4 linked regions of the Rattus norvegicus genome follow. The protein of the gene in region 1 purifies or fractionates together with the protein of each later gene. This does not show direct contact. Links are inferred from orthologs where the notes say so. Each region holds a gene or a part of one and is shown in the gene's direction. Other genes may lie near its edges. The genes, in order: Kif23, Arf6, Ect2 and Racgap1.

Region 1 (4,356 bases):
TCAGCCTTTCAAAGATGAGGGGCCATGGCCATACTGTTAAGCGTTGAGCACGCAACAGTGCCATCTAGCGAGGCTGAGGGGGAATACGCTGGGAGAGGACTCAGTAAACAGGCTGTGCCGACTGCTGAAATCAACAGCCCAGCGAGGCAGGGGCTCCAGGACCCAGTGAAGGTGAGGCTTTCACAGAGGGAAGGAAGACTGAGAGACAGAAGAGAGACCTCAGTGTGGGGGCAGATACGTTTCAAGCGCGTGCTTTGGGTTTTGGACAGGTGATAGGTGACACAATGGAGAAGGAAGACTAGCCTCAGGGTCTCACTGAGGGTCTCAAGACCGGTGATTTATAGGTGAGAGTGCTGTCAAATGGAGCAGTTTTGAAAGGTGGTGGTGGCAAAGACTGTTAGCTTTTTATCTGCTTCTGGAAATGTAAAAGGATGCATTTTCAGGTTTATTCATTGTAGCACTTTGTGACAGTAAATATTGGAAAGACTATTGTCCAGTAATAAGGACATTAAACTGTGGATATTAAACTATCCTTATTAGTGCTGGCCCTAAAGGAAGTTCTAAGTGGAGCCTGAGTCACAGAACGCAGGTGTGGTGGATACGTCCTCGAGATCTTCAGCATGGGTCAGGGATTAAGAAAGACAGAATCAATTTGCGGAAGACAAGAGGTAGATTTTGGTGGTTGTACAAGGACAGTGGGTAGATTTTAGTCACCTCTGTATATCCAGGAAACATCAAAATCAAGAATTTGAAGGTTAAGGATGTGTAGCTTAGTGACTTTTACCTAGCATTGTGAGGCTTTAGGTTTGATCCCCAGCACCAGGAGAGAGAGAGAGAGAGAGAGAGAGAGAGAGAGAGAGAGAGAGAGAGAGAGAGAGAGAGAACCCAGAGAAGGGAACTTACAAAAGGTTGACTGCCAAGTTGGTATAGTCTTCAAGAACATCCTGGGGAACTACACTGTAAGTTTGAGGCCAGCCTGGACTACAAGAGACCCTCGTCTCAAAATAAACATCAAAAGTAAGGTAAAATGTAAATGTAGAATAAAATGTAAACGTAGAATTAAATGTAAAAATAAAATATAAAATACAGTAAAATGAATAAGACGAGGTGGTGGCCTGAAAGTCAACCGGCCAGCCTGATAGTAGAACATTCCCGATCACGACTTCCTTAGAGATTCTCTGGACAAAGGCAGGGAGACCTCAGTTTCTGCGTCAGAACGGAAGGGCCGGGATTTCCCCTCTTGGTTTCTCTCGAGCACTACCCTCCTCAGCCTCCTGCTAGTTTCCTGGGTTGCCAAGGAGACGAGCGCCCCTGCTGGCGGTGCCAAGGCTCCCCGAGGCCCCGCCTCTTCGCCGCAGGCGGTCGCTGATTGGCCTGTTTGAAATGCGCCGGGCGGGCGCACACTTGGGCTTGCAGCGTCGCCGCCGGGCTCTCTTCAGATTGAGTCCGGGTCCCCGCGGCCGCAGCCTCCACGGCTTAGTTCCCGCCAGCCCTGCTCCGGTCGGAGCCCGACGTCCCGCGCGCGCGTCAGGACAGCACGGAGACTGCGGTCATGAAGTCGGCGTGAGTACCAGGAGGGGACTATTGGGAGGACTGGGCGGGGGTTGCCGCCCTCCTCACGCGGAGACTGGGGGCTGCCTGGGAGCTGAGTCGGTACGTGTAGGCCGGAGCTCCGTACTCTGCGCAGAGCTCTGGTGGCTGCTGATCCCGGTGTGCCCGCGCCCGCACAGTCCTCTCAGCCCGCGAAGGCTGACTCCGAATTCGGGGCTGTCTGCCACCACCTCCTCGGCTTGCCATCCTTTGGGCTGACCATCCTTCCCCAGCTTCCTTCCTCCCGGCCCGCTGTGCAGGTGGCAAGTCTAGGGACCCCGGGGAGCGCGCAGCCTGGGTGCGCGTTGGAGGGGTTGAGTCTCCATATCTCCGTCGGCATCCCTTCCCTAGTTCCTGGAGGTCAGGGTCCTTCTGCAGCTCAGTTACCTTGGGCTATCTTTGTCCCCAGGCCATCCCACTCGTCTGCTCTATCTCGCCCACGCCCACATTCCTCTGTAATTCCTAGACACTTCAGAGAGCCATATCCTGGTTACACTTTTACTGCAAAGGAGGGCTGGCTTTAGAAATCGTTACTTTCACACGCACACACACAAAAAAACCGGAACTTTTTAAATGAGGAATCGTCAAAGTCTTTATATTTATTTAAGGATATCTACCCCAGTATATCGCCCAACTCTGGTCTACTTCTGTTTTACGTGTGACTCTATTGAGAAAAATACTTAAATAATCTACAGTCTGAACGAATCTTTTGGTTTAATTTGTGTTACATATTCTTGTAGCCTATAAATGAGAAAGAAAAAAGTTAAATGATAGAGAATGTTGAAGTAAATCAAAATGCTTTTTTATATTGTCTACTTAAAATAGCAAGGGATTTCAGCATTGTGAATAATCTACTCTTCCTGCCCAGCAGGAGCAAATCTCTGAATTTGCTCTCCAACATTAAAAAAAAAAAATGAAATCAAAAAAAAGTTCCCCTGGATACTTCTGGTATCGAAAGTATATTTTCCCAATCACAATTTTAATGAGTTAGATTACATATGCCACATTTCTCTAATACAGCTTATTATTGTTTATATTCATGTTATTTGATGTGCAGTATTTTGGTACTGCTGGGAAATGTTTTTTTAAAGCCTAAGAAGTTCATCATTGTTAGAATTCATGATGTCTTCTATGTTAGTAGTGAATTGAAATTTATGGGGTTTTTTTTTCTTTTTTTTTTTTTTCTTTTTCTTTTTAACCAGGAAGGCTAAGATGCCCAGGAAACCTGTAATAAAAAAAGGATCTCAGACAAACCTTAAAGATCCAGTGGGGGTAAGGTGTGTGTGTGTTCGTGTGTTTGTGTGTTTGTTCTTTCTTTAGTTCATCCTACCTTGTGTGTGCTTGAAAGGGGAGGAAAATGATATGAAAGTTGGGTTAAGGAGCACAGTTAAATCGAGCACTAAGTTGTATAAAGCTGATTTTAGCTAGAAAGTTTGCTTTCTCTACAGGATTAACTGGCCTGGAAAAAGGAACTCTTTAGTTGTTGACTGCAAATCTGCTATCACTAATTAGATTTGAAAAGTTAATGATCTCTCCCACCAGGTTCTACTCTTTGGGATAGGGTGGGGATGGGGACTTTCTTCTCAGGTCTTAAACCCTCTCCCACCTGTATGTGGTAACTGACACATTCTCAAGGAGAACCCCATACTCAAGGTTCAGAGAGACTAGTGTAGAATAACTCAATTTAGGTAATCCCTCTTCCTGGAAAAGGGGAAGTTCTGGATACCACCACCCCACTGCTGGGGCAGAGTGGCTCTGGTTCCCAGTTGCACCATCTGCTGTGAGCACAGCTGGACAGGTTTTCCTCACATGAGCTCCTCTACCCTCCAGGTGCTTGATTACAGATGTGTGCTCCCATGCACACCTGAGCTGGCTATTTGACATGGCATCCAGCTGTAAAGAATTTAATGGCCTTTTCAGCTATTTTCAGAGATTTTTTACGTTATTACAATTTTATTTGTGCACACCAGTGAAAAGATGAGCAGTTTAATATTTTAACCTAAGTTTAATTTGATTTAATGAATCTTTGCATTTGACCATTCTGAACTCTAGATCTTGGTTTTGGTGACTCTGGGATTTGTTTGTGCTGAAGATCAGATATTTGTAGGTGACTGAACAGAACATAAATGGAAAGTGAGTGAGTGCTAAACATTCACAGAGGAGCATGCCTGCAGCCCCGACATCCTGGAGACCAGCAGGCAGACTGCTGAGAGCTCCAGCCCAGCTTGGGCTATAGACTGAGAACCTGTGTCTCAATAGGCAAAACAAACAGAAAAGAAAAACAAAACAAAACAACAACAACAACAACAACAACAAAACAGGCGAAGAGTCAACCTGGTTTGAACACTCTCTCTTCCCAGGTGTACTGTAGGGTGCGCCCACTGAGCTTTCCTGACCAAGAGTGCTGTGTGGAAGTGGTCAATAGTACAACCGTGCAGCTCCACACCCCTGAGGGCTATCGACTCAACAGAAATGGAGACTACAAGGAGGTAGGTTCTTAGTGGAACCAAGTTGTTTTCTGTTTTTGAATTTAAAAAGTTCATGTGTGATCTCATTTGTGGGAAGGAATACTTTAGTCACCTCATCTTTCATTTCTAGGGCATACAGATAGACTCTTGGTATGTTGGAATTAGCAGGTTGCTTTTAGGGGCTTTTTTTTCTTTTCTTTTCTGTCTGTTTCTCTCTGTCTGTCTGTCTGTCTGTCTGTCTATTTGAGACAGGGTCTTACTGTGTAGCCCTGGCTGTCCTGAAACTCTATATAGACTA
Region 2 (2,916 bases), on another chromosome or scaffold:
TCTGACCTCTCTGTGCACACGCACACTAAATGAAAAAAGTATTTGAAAATAAAAACAAAACTCAAATAGTTTCCTTATGGTGCGTGGAGATCTGAAGTCAATTTGAGGGAGTTGGTTCTCTCCTTCCACCATACGGGTTCTGGGGACTGAACACGGGTCCGCCCTCTCGGCGGCAGGCTTCACGCACACAGCCATCTCGTCGGTCCTGAAAGTCTATTTCCTAAGAAGTGCGGGTGGTTCAGACTTACAAAGAGGACAAGTTTAAACTTTCACAGGCAGGGCTTAGGGGCAAACCCAACACGAGTAAAAGTGCGGGCGACTTTGGCGGATTCTATGGAACACTGGCCTCCCACGTGTCTTTCAGGAAACAGAAGGAAGTCGGGAGGCGTCGGAGTAAAAAGGAGACCCGGGTGCGGAAGGCTGGGGCGAGCGGGAGGAACTTTGCGCAGGGTGTCCGGGAGCAAACCTGGGAAGCCTGGGTGGGGGCGTTGAACACCCAGTGGATTTTTGCCCCGCCTTCCAGTGGCGGAGAAGGGAAAACAGCGGAGACCCTGGGAGAGCGACAGGTGGGCGTACGGCCAGCCCCGCTCCAGCAGGTTCCGCAAGGCGTCCGCGTGAGCCCCCCGAGCCGCCGTAGCCCCACCCCCGGCGCGTGGCGCTCGTGACGCTAGGCGCGCGGGCCACTCTCCTTTCAGAGGTCGCGCTCTTCCGAACGGTCGGGCTGAGGTGCGCGTGCGCAGTCGGGAGGGGAAGTGAGGCGGTTTCCTCGGCGCCTTTTCCGGCAGCGGCGGCAGCAGAACTGGGGAGGAGGAGGTGGAGGCCGGAGGGAACCCGCGCTTGGGGCGGCGGCTGGAGGTAATCTCAAGGGCCGAGCCCGAAAGGCGGGCCGGGTCGGTCTCAGCACCGTCGGAGTCCCGGCGGTAACTCCCTTCTCCCTCTCTGTGTCTCTGCAGGTAGCACCGAGTTCCCGCGAGGATCCATGACCTGACGGGGCGCAGAGCCGCGCTCTTCGTCGGGTGACCAGGGTTGGTGCGGAGCCCGGTGCTCGCAGGCCGGCGGGAGGGCCGCAGTTTGACCTGCCGCGTGCTGAGGCGGCGGAGGAGCTGTCGGCGGCGCTCGCGCGGCGCCTGCGGGGGGAAGGGCAGTTCCGGGCCGGCCGCGCCTCGCCTCAGCAGGGCGGCGGCTCTCCCGGCGCAGACGCAGGGCCCCGGCGGCGGGCGATGCCCGAGTGAGCGCAGGCCGGGCCCCTGCCCCTAGCAGGCAGCTTCGCGCAAGCCGGGCCGCAGGGCGTCCTCGCGGCGGGGCGGCTACTTTTCGGGCTCGCAGCGGCGGCGGCGTTGTAGGCTGAGGGGACCCGGGACACCTGAATGCCCCCGGCCCCGGCTCTTCCGACGCGATGGGGAAGGTGCTATCCAAGATCTTCGGGAACAAGGAAATGCGGATCCTCATGCTGGGCCTGGACGCAGCCGGCAAGACAACGATCCTGTACAAGTTGAAGCTGGGCCAGTCTGTGACCACCATTCCCACGGTGGGTTTCAACGTGGAGACGGTGACTTACAAAAACGTCAAGTTCAACGTGTGGGATGTGGGCGGCCAGGACAAGATCCGGCCGCTCTGGCGGCATTACTACACCGGGACCCAGGGTCTGATCTTCGTGGTAGACTGCGCCGACCGCGACCGCATCGATGAGGCCCGCCAGGAGCTGCACCGCATTATCAATGACCGGGAGATGAGGGACGCCATAATCCTCATCTTCGCCAACAAGCAGGACCTGCCTGATGCCATGAAACCCCATGAGATCCAGGAGAAACTGGGCCTGACCCGGATTCGGGACAGGAACTGGTATGTGCAGCCCTCCTGTGCCACCTCCGGGGACGGACTCTATGAGGGGCTCACATGGTTAACCTCTAACTACAAATCCTAATGAGCGCCCTCCACCCAGCCCCCGGAAGGAGAGAAATCAAAAACCCATTCATAGGATTATCGCCACCATCATCACCTCTTTCAATTGCCACTCTCTTTTTTGAAACTGAACTCGAGTTACTGTTCTACCGTTTAGTGGGGTTGGGGGTTTTCTTTGTTCCCCTTACCCCCCCTCTTCTATTTCCTTTCGGCTTTGCGTTAGGATGCTCTGATCTGACATTTGACACGAATACAGTGCTATATGCTCTTGTGACTTCCAGCAAACGGGGTGGGGTAATAGCAACTCTTGGTAAAGTCCTTTATAATAATGGTTTTGATTTTTTTTTTTTATTTCGAGAGAATCTCCCCCCATGTATGCCTTTTTCCTTTTTGCCCAGTTTCTTATCACTTGCTGTAGATGGCTTATTTTGCATTCATGCAGACTATGTTCCAAGTCTGTTTCATCTAGTAAACTGAAAATTATTGCTTAATCAAACTGCCGTTTGTCTTTTATATTTAAGGCCTTCCCTCCCTTCCTTGTTAGCTCTAACTTTAGCAGTTTCAAATGTGACCTTTTATAGCCAAGACCAGTATGGTGAACTTAGCCCATAGTGGCAAAATGAGTAATACCAGTGTAATGTTCAGTTGCACACCAGTGTGTCAGATAGGTAATGTAAGGAATCCCTTGAAGTCAGCCATTAACGTGCATGAGTAGGAGTAAGGCTCAAGTCCCCTTTGCCATAGCTAACTTTACCGACTAAAACAAGCAGAGCCTGTAAAGGGTACAGGTCCTTCTCCCTGCAAAGTTAGCAACTTTGCTGATTCCCTCTTATGGATAAAAATGCTCTTTCCAGAAAGTGGAGCAATAATGGTGTATGCCACACAGATGAAGTATTTGTAGATACTTTAAAGTGACTTTTGGGCAAAACTGGAACTGTCTTAAGACCAGTAGTTTTAAAATTACTAAACATTTACTTGGCTCACTAATAAAATATTTAAAAAGCCAAATTACAT
Region 3 (4,168 bases), on another chromosome or scaffold:
AGAATGTTTGGAATGCCAGACACACCCAAGCTTAAACTGCAAACACACTCCCGTTGGCAATTTCAAGGCTGATTTTTTTCCCTCTTTCTTCCGCTCTAATGGCTAATTCTAGAGACTGTCAGGCCATAGATAATGTTAAGCAGAAAACAAAACAAAACAAAAACAACCAACCAGACAAAGACTGTAGACTGTTTTACTCATTCTATGAACTCGCCATACACTTGTCAAGCTCCTAAGGTTGTCAAGAAGTTCTTTTTGTTTTTAAAGTAGATCTTGGGCTGGTGGGTTGGCTCAGTGGTTAAAAGCACTTCTTACTCTCACAGAGGACCTGGGTTTAATTCCCAGCATCCACATGGTGGTTCATAATCCTCTAATTTCAGTCCCTGGGAATGGATCTGGCCTCCTCCTTACCTCCAAGCACTCACAAGATGCACACACACACACACATCCAGGGAAAATAATACAGACACATATAATTAATAAATCTAAATTTAAAAGGTGGTTTTAAAACCTCTTATTGAGGTTTGGGGCGTAGCAACAGATCCAACCACTTGGTAGGGTTCGGTTTTGAAAGTAAAAAAATAACTGTTTTGAGACAGGGTCTCCTGTGCAGACCAGGCAGATCTTGTTCTCCACTTCCAGCGCCATCCTCCTTAGTAAGTGGGGTCACAGGATTTGAAACCACACCCAGCTAGAAGTGTATGTTTAAGAGATTGTATTATAGAACATTACATCTAGAAACAATTTTCAGAATAGAAATATCGAAAAAAAAAACCTGATCATTTCTTTTCTAGACTTCAAAGGTCACTAACATTCTTATGCTGGGGATTGGAGGTGGGGCCTGGGGAGAAGGAGCAAGCCACCCAGAAGCAATTTTGCATCAGGGGATTCTAAAATCTCCTTACACTTTTTTTTTTTTAGTTACTTAGATGCAAGCTTGTCTCCAAATATAAAATCTGGGAAGTGGTAAGAGCCGAATGGTTTGCGGTGCTTGTTACTTTTCTTGAAGTTGGAGGTGATGGTAGAGACTGAGCCTCGGGAAACTGGCTGTTTACTGAGTAAACAAGCGGTCACCACAGAAACACCTGCTACGTCTAGAGGCGCTCCGAGGCCACGCCCCCCTCTCGCCCACATCCGGGCATTTCGCTGACGTCCACACGCTCCAGCCGTTTAGCTTATTTGAAACACACGCATAGCCAATCAGCCGGCGCCTCCTGGAGGCGGTCGTTGAGATTGACCAATAAGCAGTCCGCCAGAGACTCCAGCCTATCAAAAGGAGGTTGACAAAGCGCGCCAATCAGCATGGCTCTGAGAGAGAGCGTCTGGGTTTTTTGAATCGGAGGCGGTAGCCTCCTTCGAGCCATGGCGGCCCCAGTGAGGAGACTCAGTGTTTGAGAAGGTTAAGCGAGGACTGCGCCGCAGTGGTTCATTTTTCTTTTTTTTAAAATATCTGAACGTGGTGAGGACTGCGGGGTGAGTGGGGGACGGGAAGGGATTCGAGTGCCCGGAACTGCACCGGCCGTGGGGACCAAGGCCGGCGTCCCCGCCGCGGTGAGCCCCCACGGCTGCGTACCTGTCTGTACCGCTCCCTTTCATCCTCTTCCCTCACATCCGCCTCCTTTCCTGTCGTCTGTTCTGGCCCCGGTTTTTCCTTGCGGGAATCTGGGTTCTATTCTGCTTCTGTCAGGCGCCCCAGGGTGAAGGGCGCAGTTGGGACAGCGATTTTGGCTTCCTGCTTGCCCTTCCGCCCGCTCGCTGCAGCCCAGAGCTGCCCTGATTGTTTTGTGGTTTCCCTCTGGAATTCCTGCAGAATTCCGATTTTCGATTTTTTTAAAATATAAAACACAGGCCGCTCCGCCCCTTCCTGGCCACAGATGTGTGTGGTTAGTGGTTAACTTAGCGCCCTCAGAGTTAGACCCGGCTTGGAGTCTCTGTGTGAACAACTTTCTTAGCCACAAACTGGATATGGCAATGATATTTGTCTTTTAGGATGGCTGCAAAGGTTAAATAATGGTAAGGGGGAGATTTAAGATAGTGGCTGTAAAATAGTGAGCTTTAAGTAAATGAAATCGCTAATTAACACCATTATCAACGTATTCAAAACTATTGTAGTTTTGTCTCTTTACTCTGGATGACTTTTTTATGGAAAAAAAGTTTATTTAAAAGAAAAGCTAAAAATGACTTTATTTAAAAGAATCCATGTGTTGTGAGACAGGGTCTTAGGTATTCCAGAATAGGCTTGAATTGTGGAGCCAATGGTGACATAAAACTCCACCTGCCTCTACCTCCTCCCCGATGTACTTTCACCTTGCTTGGTTTTGAGGTGCCCGAGGATGACCTCATGCATGCTACGCTGAGGCACATTCCAAGACAAAGATGTGTTCTTTTTATGATCAGATTGTTGTGTTTATTTTTAAAAAGCCTCTAGAATGTGTGAAAAGGAAGAAACTGGTGCATTTCAGTTTGCAGTGATGTTGGGTGCTAGATGTATCATTAGTGTGCCCTGTAGCTCTTTTGCTGTATATTTTGAAAATAGATAATAATATGCATTTTCACTGTTTTGGTGCATAGTGAGAAAGGGTTTAGTTGTGTACTCCTGCCTGTTGTGTGGGTGCTGGAACTTTAGGCTTGTGCCACTAGGCAACACATTATCAGTCAACTGGCAATTTTAAAGAGGGTCATGTAAGCTGAAGTATTGTTGAAAGTGCATTGTAAAGCTCTGGCACGTAGTTTACACATAAGTATAGACTCTTATTTTGACTTTTTTTTGGTGGGGGGCGGTCTGGGAGATTGAACTCTGAATCTTTCCAGGCTTTACCACTAAACTCCACCTCCAGCCCTAGTCTATTTTAGTACATTTATACCCCTGTAATGCTTAGGTCAAGGTCATGCCCATATCACTGTAAGCATTTATCCTTTTACTGGAGATGTTCAAAGTCCTTTCTACTAACCTTTAAGTTAGGAATTGGAGTTTCTTAGGTGACGTTTTAGTCTAGATTAAGCAGTGTTCTACTGACCATTTCATTAATTATTTTTGGCTTTTTTGAGACGAAGTTTCATGTGACTCCTCCAGCTCCTGTGGTCCTTTTGATTTGTTAAAATCTCTGATCCTATCTTGGCTTTGTGAACATTTAATCCCAATTCTCAGGAGTGTTGGCACAGGAGGATTGACCATGAGTTTCCTAGCAGCTTGGAGTGCAGAATGAAATCAGGCCAGCAAGGATTTCGAGATCCTGTCTCAAAGGAACATGGGTCAATCAAATCAAATTCCCCTCCAGTCCTTAAAGCTGAGCAGCTCACCCTTTCTCCCTTTTTCCTTCTCCTCACCAGCCTCTTGTAAAATTAATTACTTAACTTTTTAAAAAAGATTTATTTACTTATTATATATAAGTACACTGTAGCTGTTTTCAGACACACCAGAAGAGGTCATTGGATTCCATTACAGATGGTTGTGAGCCACCATGTGGTTGTTGGGAATTGTACTGAGGACCTCTGGAAGTGCAGTCAGTGCTCTTAACTGCTGAGCGTCTCTCCAGCCCTTAATTAACTTTTAAAATTAATTTACATCTCAACCACAATATCCCTCCTTCCTCTTCTCCCAGGCCTTCTCCCACCCTATCCACTCCTCCCTTTCTCTTCTGAAAAGCGGAGGCCTCCCATGGATATCAACTGACCAAATCAAGTTGTAGCAAGACTAGACAACTAGAGGAAAGGTTCTCAAAGGCAGCAGCAGTCAGATAGCCCATGATTCCCCTATCCCCCTTTTTGAACCAGGGTCTTATTCTGAGTTTTGGGGTAAAAGGTGTGTACCGTACTGGACTCACTCTCTTATTCTGTAACACAGACTGGCCTCTAATTCACAGTAATCCTCTTGCCTTAAGGCCTTCTTAGATGATGTTTACTACCATGTTTAGCTTTTTCCTTTTTTTAAAAAAAAATTTTTTTTTAAAGATGTGTTTATTTATAATACATTGTAGCTGTCTTCAAACCCACCAGAAGAGGGCATCAGATCTCATTACAGATGGTTGTGAGCCATCATGTGGGTGCTGGGATTTGAACTCAGGACCTCTGGAAGGACAGTCAGTGCTCTTAACCACTGAGCCATCTCTCCAGCCCTGGCTTTTTCCTTTTTTTCTTTTTCTTTTTAAAAATCGTATTTGTTTCCTTT
Region 4 (4,295 bases), on another chromosome or scaffold:
AGCTAGTGTTTATAGCAAAACCACAGAGACAGGCAGCATAGACTCCTTTGAAGAAAGCAGTTAAAAAAAAAATTCAAGCTGCCCAAAGGACAGATAAAACTTAGTCAGATGGAGGTGAGGGAAGGGGCTGGAAGAGTGTCTGGGGCAGATGGGACTGCAAGAGTAAAGCTCTGGATGCTAGGTGTCACTTGGTGCACTTCAGGACCTGTAAACAAGATGGAGGGCAGTTAGGGAGCAGGGAAGCACAGGTTAGGGGAGCCATTAAGGACCCCATCTTTTTTTTAAGGAGGGGAGGTGAAGTGATTAATGGTTTTCAGCAAGGAAAAGCCACGGTTAGAGCTGCTTTTTTGTTTGTTTGTTTGTTTGTTTGGTCTGGAGCTAAAGTAGCAGAGGCTGGTCTTGATCTCTCAGCCTCCACTCCTTAAGTGCTGGCGATTATGGGTGTGTGCCACCACACCCACACAGAACTGCCTTTTAAAATACCAACTGTTGTAAAGAGCTCAAGGGCACAGCTCCCCTGGTGGTTTGAGAACTGAGGCAGACTAGGCTGGCCTTGAGTTTACAGACATCTGCCTGCCTCTGCTGTGCTGGGCTTAAAGGCATATGCCTGGCTCACCCTTTCTAGTAAGCTCTAGCCAGCCAGTATTTTGTCAAATTGCAGGTAGCCACACCTTCCAGTAATTAGTAAATTCAGGAAGGAAGGGACTCCAACACAGAGAAATAACAACAACAACAAAAGAACAGAAACATCGGGAGTACACTAATAGATTAAGATGAATGGTTGTATATTGAGTGCATTTCTGATGTTGGGCCCAGATCTTTAAAAGTTTCAAAGCCTCTGTACCAATACAATGCCAAATTTTAAGTGCCATTTATTAAATGGAATTATAACACTTCATTCTGCACTTCTATTTGTTTTCTTGAGCTGTCTCACCCATTCATAGCTACTGGAAAGCAGAGACCACATGATCTGTATTTTTTTCTGATCTCTAGCAGAGTGCTTGCTATGAAGTTGGCATACTTACTGTGCATCAAATAGAAGTCTGAATGGATGCGTGAGTGAATGGGGGGGATAATTATAGCTCAGTAAATATGGTTAAAATGATTGTTGCTCTGTCTCCTTCTGGAATTCTTCCTATTCTACAGTGAGACCCGAAACTATTCGGTTATTAGTTTCCAAGAGTCCTATTTGTCTGCCTGGGGAAACATGGAGGCAAGAATAATATGCAATTAGTCAACAGGTCATTAGAATAATTGCAAGAAAGGGAGCCGTAGCCGGAGCCTGGAGCGGGAGTCCTACACAGGCCATGAAACACCCACTACTCCCGCAAAAGTGTGCCCACAGTCAAAATGGCCGTCTTTCGGCGTCTCGCTAATGTAATGCGCACGCTCTTCCCGTTTTGCGCCCGCCCCCTGGCCCTAACACGTGCGTCGCCCAGAGCATGATCTCCTCTGTGATTGGCTGCTGCGCGATTTTGAACCGGATCCGGCGGCGCGGTTTTACACTGCCGTTAGTGAGGCGCGCAGCTGGTGGACAGCAGCCCTCCTGGGGCGCGGCGGCCGGAGAGTAAGCGCCGCGGGCCGAACAGGGTTGCGTGTGCGCGGGGCCGGGAGCCTCGGTAAGCGGGTCGAGGCCGCGAGCGGGCGGCGGAGGGAGGAGGGGGGCATCTGGAGGGGTCTGCTCTCGGCGTGGGGCTGCGCGTTAAGTCGGGAGCGTCCTTTTGAGGCGTGGCCCGACGGGTGCGGGTGTGGTTCCCTCAAGGTGGTCTTGGCGAACTCTAGTGCGGGACGTGGGAGTGGCCGGGAGCGAGCCCCTCTCACCCTTTTCCGAGGAGCAGTCTCTTCTGCGGGAGAAGTCAGGTGTTTGAGGAACCTGGCGGCCTACAGTGGAGAGCCTCTACCTTCTTGGCTGTCTCCCACAAGGCTAATTAGAACATCCCTATATGTGGAGAGCTAGAATGCTGCAAATGCGGAGCCTATCTTTTTCAGCCCTCCTTTTAATAATAATTTATCACCTATTTCTGCCACTGACCTAGCTACCGTTCTGCGATTAGCATGGGAAACCCTTTGGGGGTGTATTACTTTATATTAACAGCCTCCACCCACAGAAAAGCTACGACTGTAATCTGGCAAGCCTCGGAAACCTTCTTGAAGCGCCCACCAAAGTTTTTTTAAGCGTTCCTTGATTTATGACTGTTCTTAACTATAAAACTTAATGAGAATGATTATATCAGAACATGGTATTTATTTAGGTAACCTGGATTCATGGTCACGAGCCAGGGTCACTTATATTTGGCTCAGGAAGGAACACTCATTTCTCTTGGGATGAGAACTTTGTTTTTGTGCCTCAGAAAGAGAGGGAGGGAGAGAGAGGGAGAGACGGACTGCAGTACTCCCAATAGTGTATTGGAGGGTTATTGGAGTTACTGTTCTATCACACTCTGTGTGTGTGTGTGTGTGTGTGTGTGTGTGTGTGAGAGAGAGAGAGAGAGAGAGAGACAGACAGACAGACACACACACACACACACACACACACACACACACACACGGTGTCTTATGTAGCCCAGGTTGGTCTGAGACACACACACACACACACACACACACACACACACACACACACACACACACACGGTGTCTTATGTAGCCCAGGTTGGCCTCTTGTATCCAAGGATAACCCCGAACCTCTGATCCGCCTGTCCCTGGAGTGTTGGGATTACAGGACAATTTGGAGATGACACGTGTGATCCACCATTCTCAGTATTTGCTGTGTTGAGGACAGAAACCAGGGGCTTGTCACTCTAGGCAGGCATGGTGTCAGCTAAGGTATAGGCCAGCACAATGGTACATTTAAGTTCAAGTAAGATTCTTCTACTAACCCTTAAGAAACTGTTGACTGCACATCAGGCTGCTGGGGTGCAGTAAAGATGGGGACTCTTGTGCTGTTAGACCTCAGTGCTGTCTGCTGACCAGCTTAGCTTCTGGGTTGATGAAAGGTAGTTATTTTTTGGTTTGTCTTTTTTTTTTTCCCCCCTGGAACTCAGAGATCTGCCTGTCTCTATGTCTCCCAAGCTTTGGGATTAAAGATGTCTGCCACCATTCCCCTTGGTAAAAGGTAATTAATTCAGGCCAAAATTTCATCTGATAGCAGCAAGGAGGTGGCTGGTGCATTAGTGGGGTAAAGAGATGACTGAGATAGTTTGGCTGCAGATCTAACTCTCCACAAATACACAATAAATCCCTCCCACCCACCCAGCTGAGGACCCAGTGCTAGGCAAGCTCTCTACCACTGAGCTAAATCCCCAACCTGCCTTATAGAATTCTTAACATTGGCTTTTTTCCCCTGGCTTTTTTCAGTTGACAAAAATTTCTACTCAATATAATAGCCTTGCTATATTATTTTGGCTGGCTTCTGTGTGAGGGTGTCAGATCCCCTGGGGATGGAGCTACAGACAGTTGTGAGCTGCCATGCCAGTGCTGGGAATTGAACTCAAGTCCTCTGAAACAGCAGCCAGTGCCCTTAACCACTGAGTCATCTCTTCGGCCCCCCTCCCCGCCAATATAAGGTTTTTATACCGTGCTACATTAATCAAAAACCTGTCGTTGCAAGGACTCACCTTTGAACCTGAGGAAGAAAACTGGCCATGAGGAGGCTCACTCAGTGAGTGTCAGGTCACCTACCAAGCATTGGTAGTGGGCAGTGTTCTAGATACCAGTGGCTCTGCTAAGTCCTTGCTTTCCAGACAGTAAGTAAACATGTTAGGTGGAGACAAGCACTCTGGAGCAGAATAAACCAGGAGTTACAGAAAAGGCTGAATTTAAAAGTGTGGCTGGTGGAGACTTCATTGAGAAGTAAATTCCCAGGGGTCAGGGAGAAGGGGACGGAATGGGATGGGTGACTGCCCATGCTAGAGACTTCTGGCAGAGGGTAACTGAAAAACTGAATCCAAAGAGAACGAGTAGACCAATGGTAGCCCATCGACTCTGTGATGCTTGCTCAGTGCAAACAAGATGCTAACAATCAAAAACTGTGTGCCCCGAGCGAGAGTGTGGTGGGCACAGGGCTGGATGAGGGGGATGAGGTTTGTGTTTTGAGGCAGTGTTTTATGTCTGCCTAAGTTGAAGTCATTAGGAAAAGGCTTCAGTGACTGCTAAGGCAGACTCTGGGTAGGCCTCACAGGAGACAGCAGCAGTGTGCCGAACTTACCTGTCACATCCAGTTCTCCTTCACTCTGGCCTTGACTCTTATTGAGCTGGAACATTCTGTTTACTCTTTCTTGATTGGTTTGCTCATAGGA

What was found.
Region 2: the proteins of Kif23 (region 1) and Arf6 purify together in Homo sapiens (affinity purification with western blotting; 3 studies listed by BioGRID and IntAct, with this or other methods). This does not show direct contact. The link is inferred for Rattus norvegicus from reciprocal best matches to the Homo sapiens genes KIF23 and ARF6.
Region 3: the proteins of Kif23 (region 1) and Ect2 purify together in Homo sapiens (co-immunoprecipitation; 3 studies listed by BioGRID and IntAct, with this or other methods). This does not show direct contact. The link is inferred for Rattus norvegicus from reciprocal best matches to the Homo sapiens genes KIF23 and ECT2.
Region 4: the proteins of Kif23 (region 1) and Racgap1 purify together in Homo sapiens (co-immunoprecipitation; 10 studies listed by BioGRID and IntAct, counting the BioPlex papers as one, with this or other methods). This does not show direct contact. The link is inferred for Rattus norvegicus from reciprocal best matches to the Homo sapiens genes KIF23 and RACGAP1.

What each region holds. Positions count from the first base shown.
Region 1 is NC_086026.1:71,317,685-71,322,040, reverse strand, and holds the start of Kif23 (kinesin-like protein KIF23), read left to right. Parts: upstream 1-1,552; coding exon 1,553-1,563; intron 1,564-2,792; coding exon 2,793-2,862; exon of another isoform or gene 2,863-2,867; intron 2,868-3,950; coding exon 3,951-4,079; intron 4,080-4,356.
Region 2 is NC_086024.1:93,588,533-93,591,448, forward strand, and holds Arf6 (ADP-ribosylation factor 6), read left to right. Parts: upstream 1-1,244; 5' UTR 1,245-1,396; coding exon 1,397-1,924; 3' UTR 1,925-2,393; downstream 2,394-2,916. UniProt on the Homo sapiens protein: GTP-binding protein involved in protein trafficking that regulates endocytic recycling and cytoskeleton remodeling. GTP-bound form plays an important role in the transport of multiple palmitoylated proteins form the Golgi to the plasma membrane.
Region 3 is NC_086020.1:111,963,792-111,967,959, reverse strand, and holds the start of Ect2 (protein ECT2), read left to right. Parts: upstream 1-1,333; 5' UTR 1,334-1,459; exon of another isoform or gene 1,460-1,551; intron 1,552-1,592; exon of another isoform or gene 1,593-2,013; intron 2,014-4,168. UniProt on the Homo sapiens protein: Guanine nucleotide exchange factor (GEF) that catalyzes the exchange of GDP for GTP. Promotes guanine nucleotide exchange on the Rho family members of small GTPases, like RHOA, RHOC, RAC1 and CDC42.
Region 4 is NC_086025.1:132,656,886-132,661,180, reverse strand, and holds the start of Racgap1 (rac GTPase-activating protein 1), read left to right. Parts: upstream 1-1,442; 5' UTR 1,443-1,619; intron 1,620-4,295.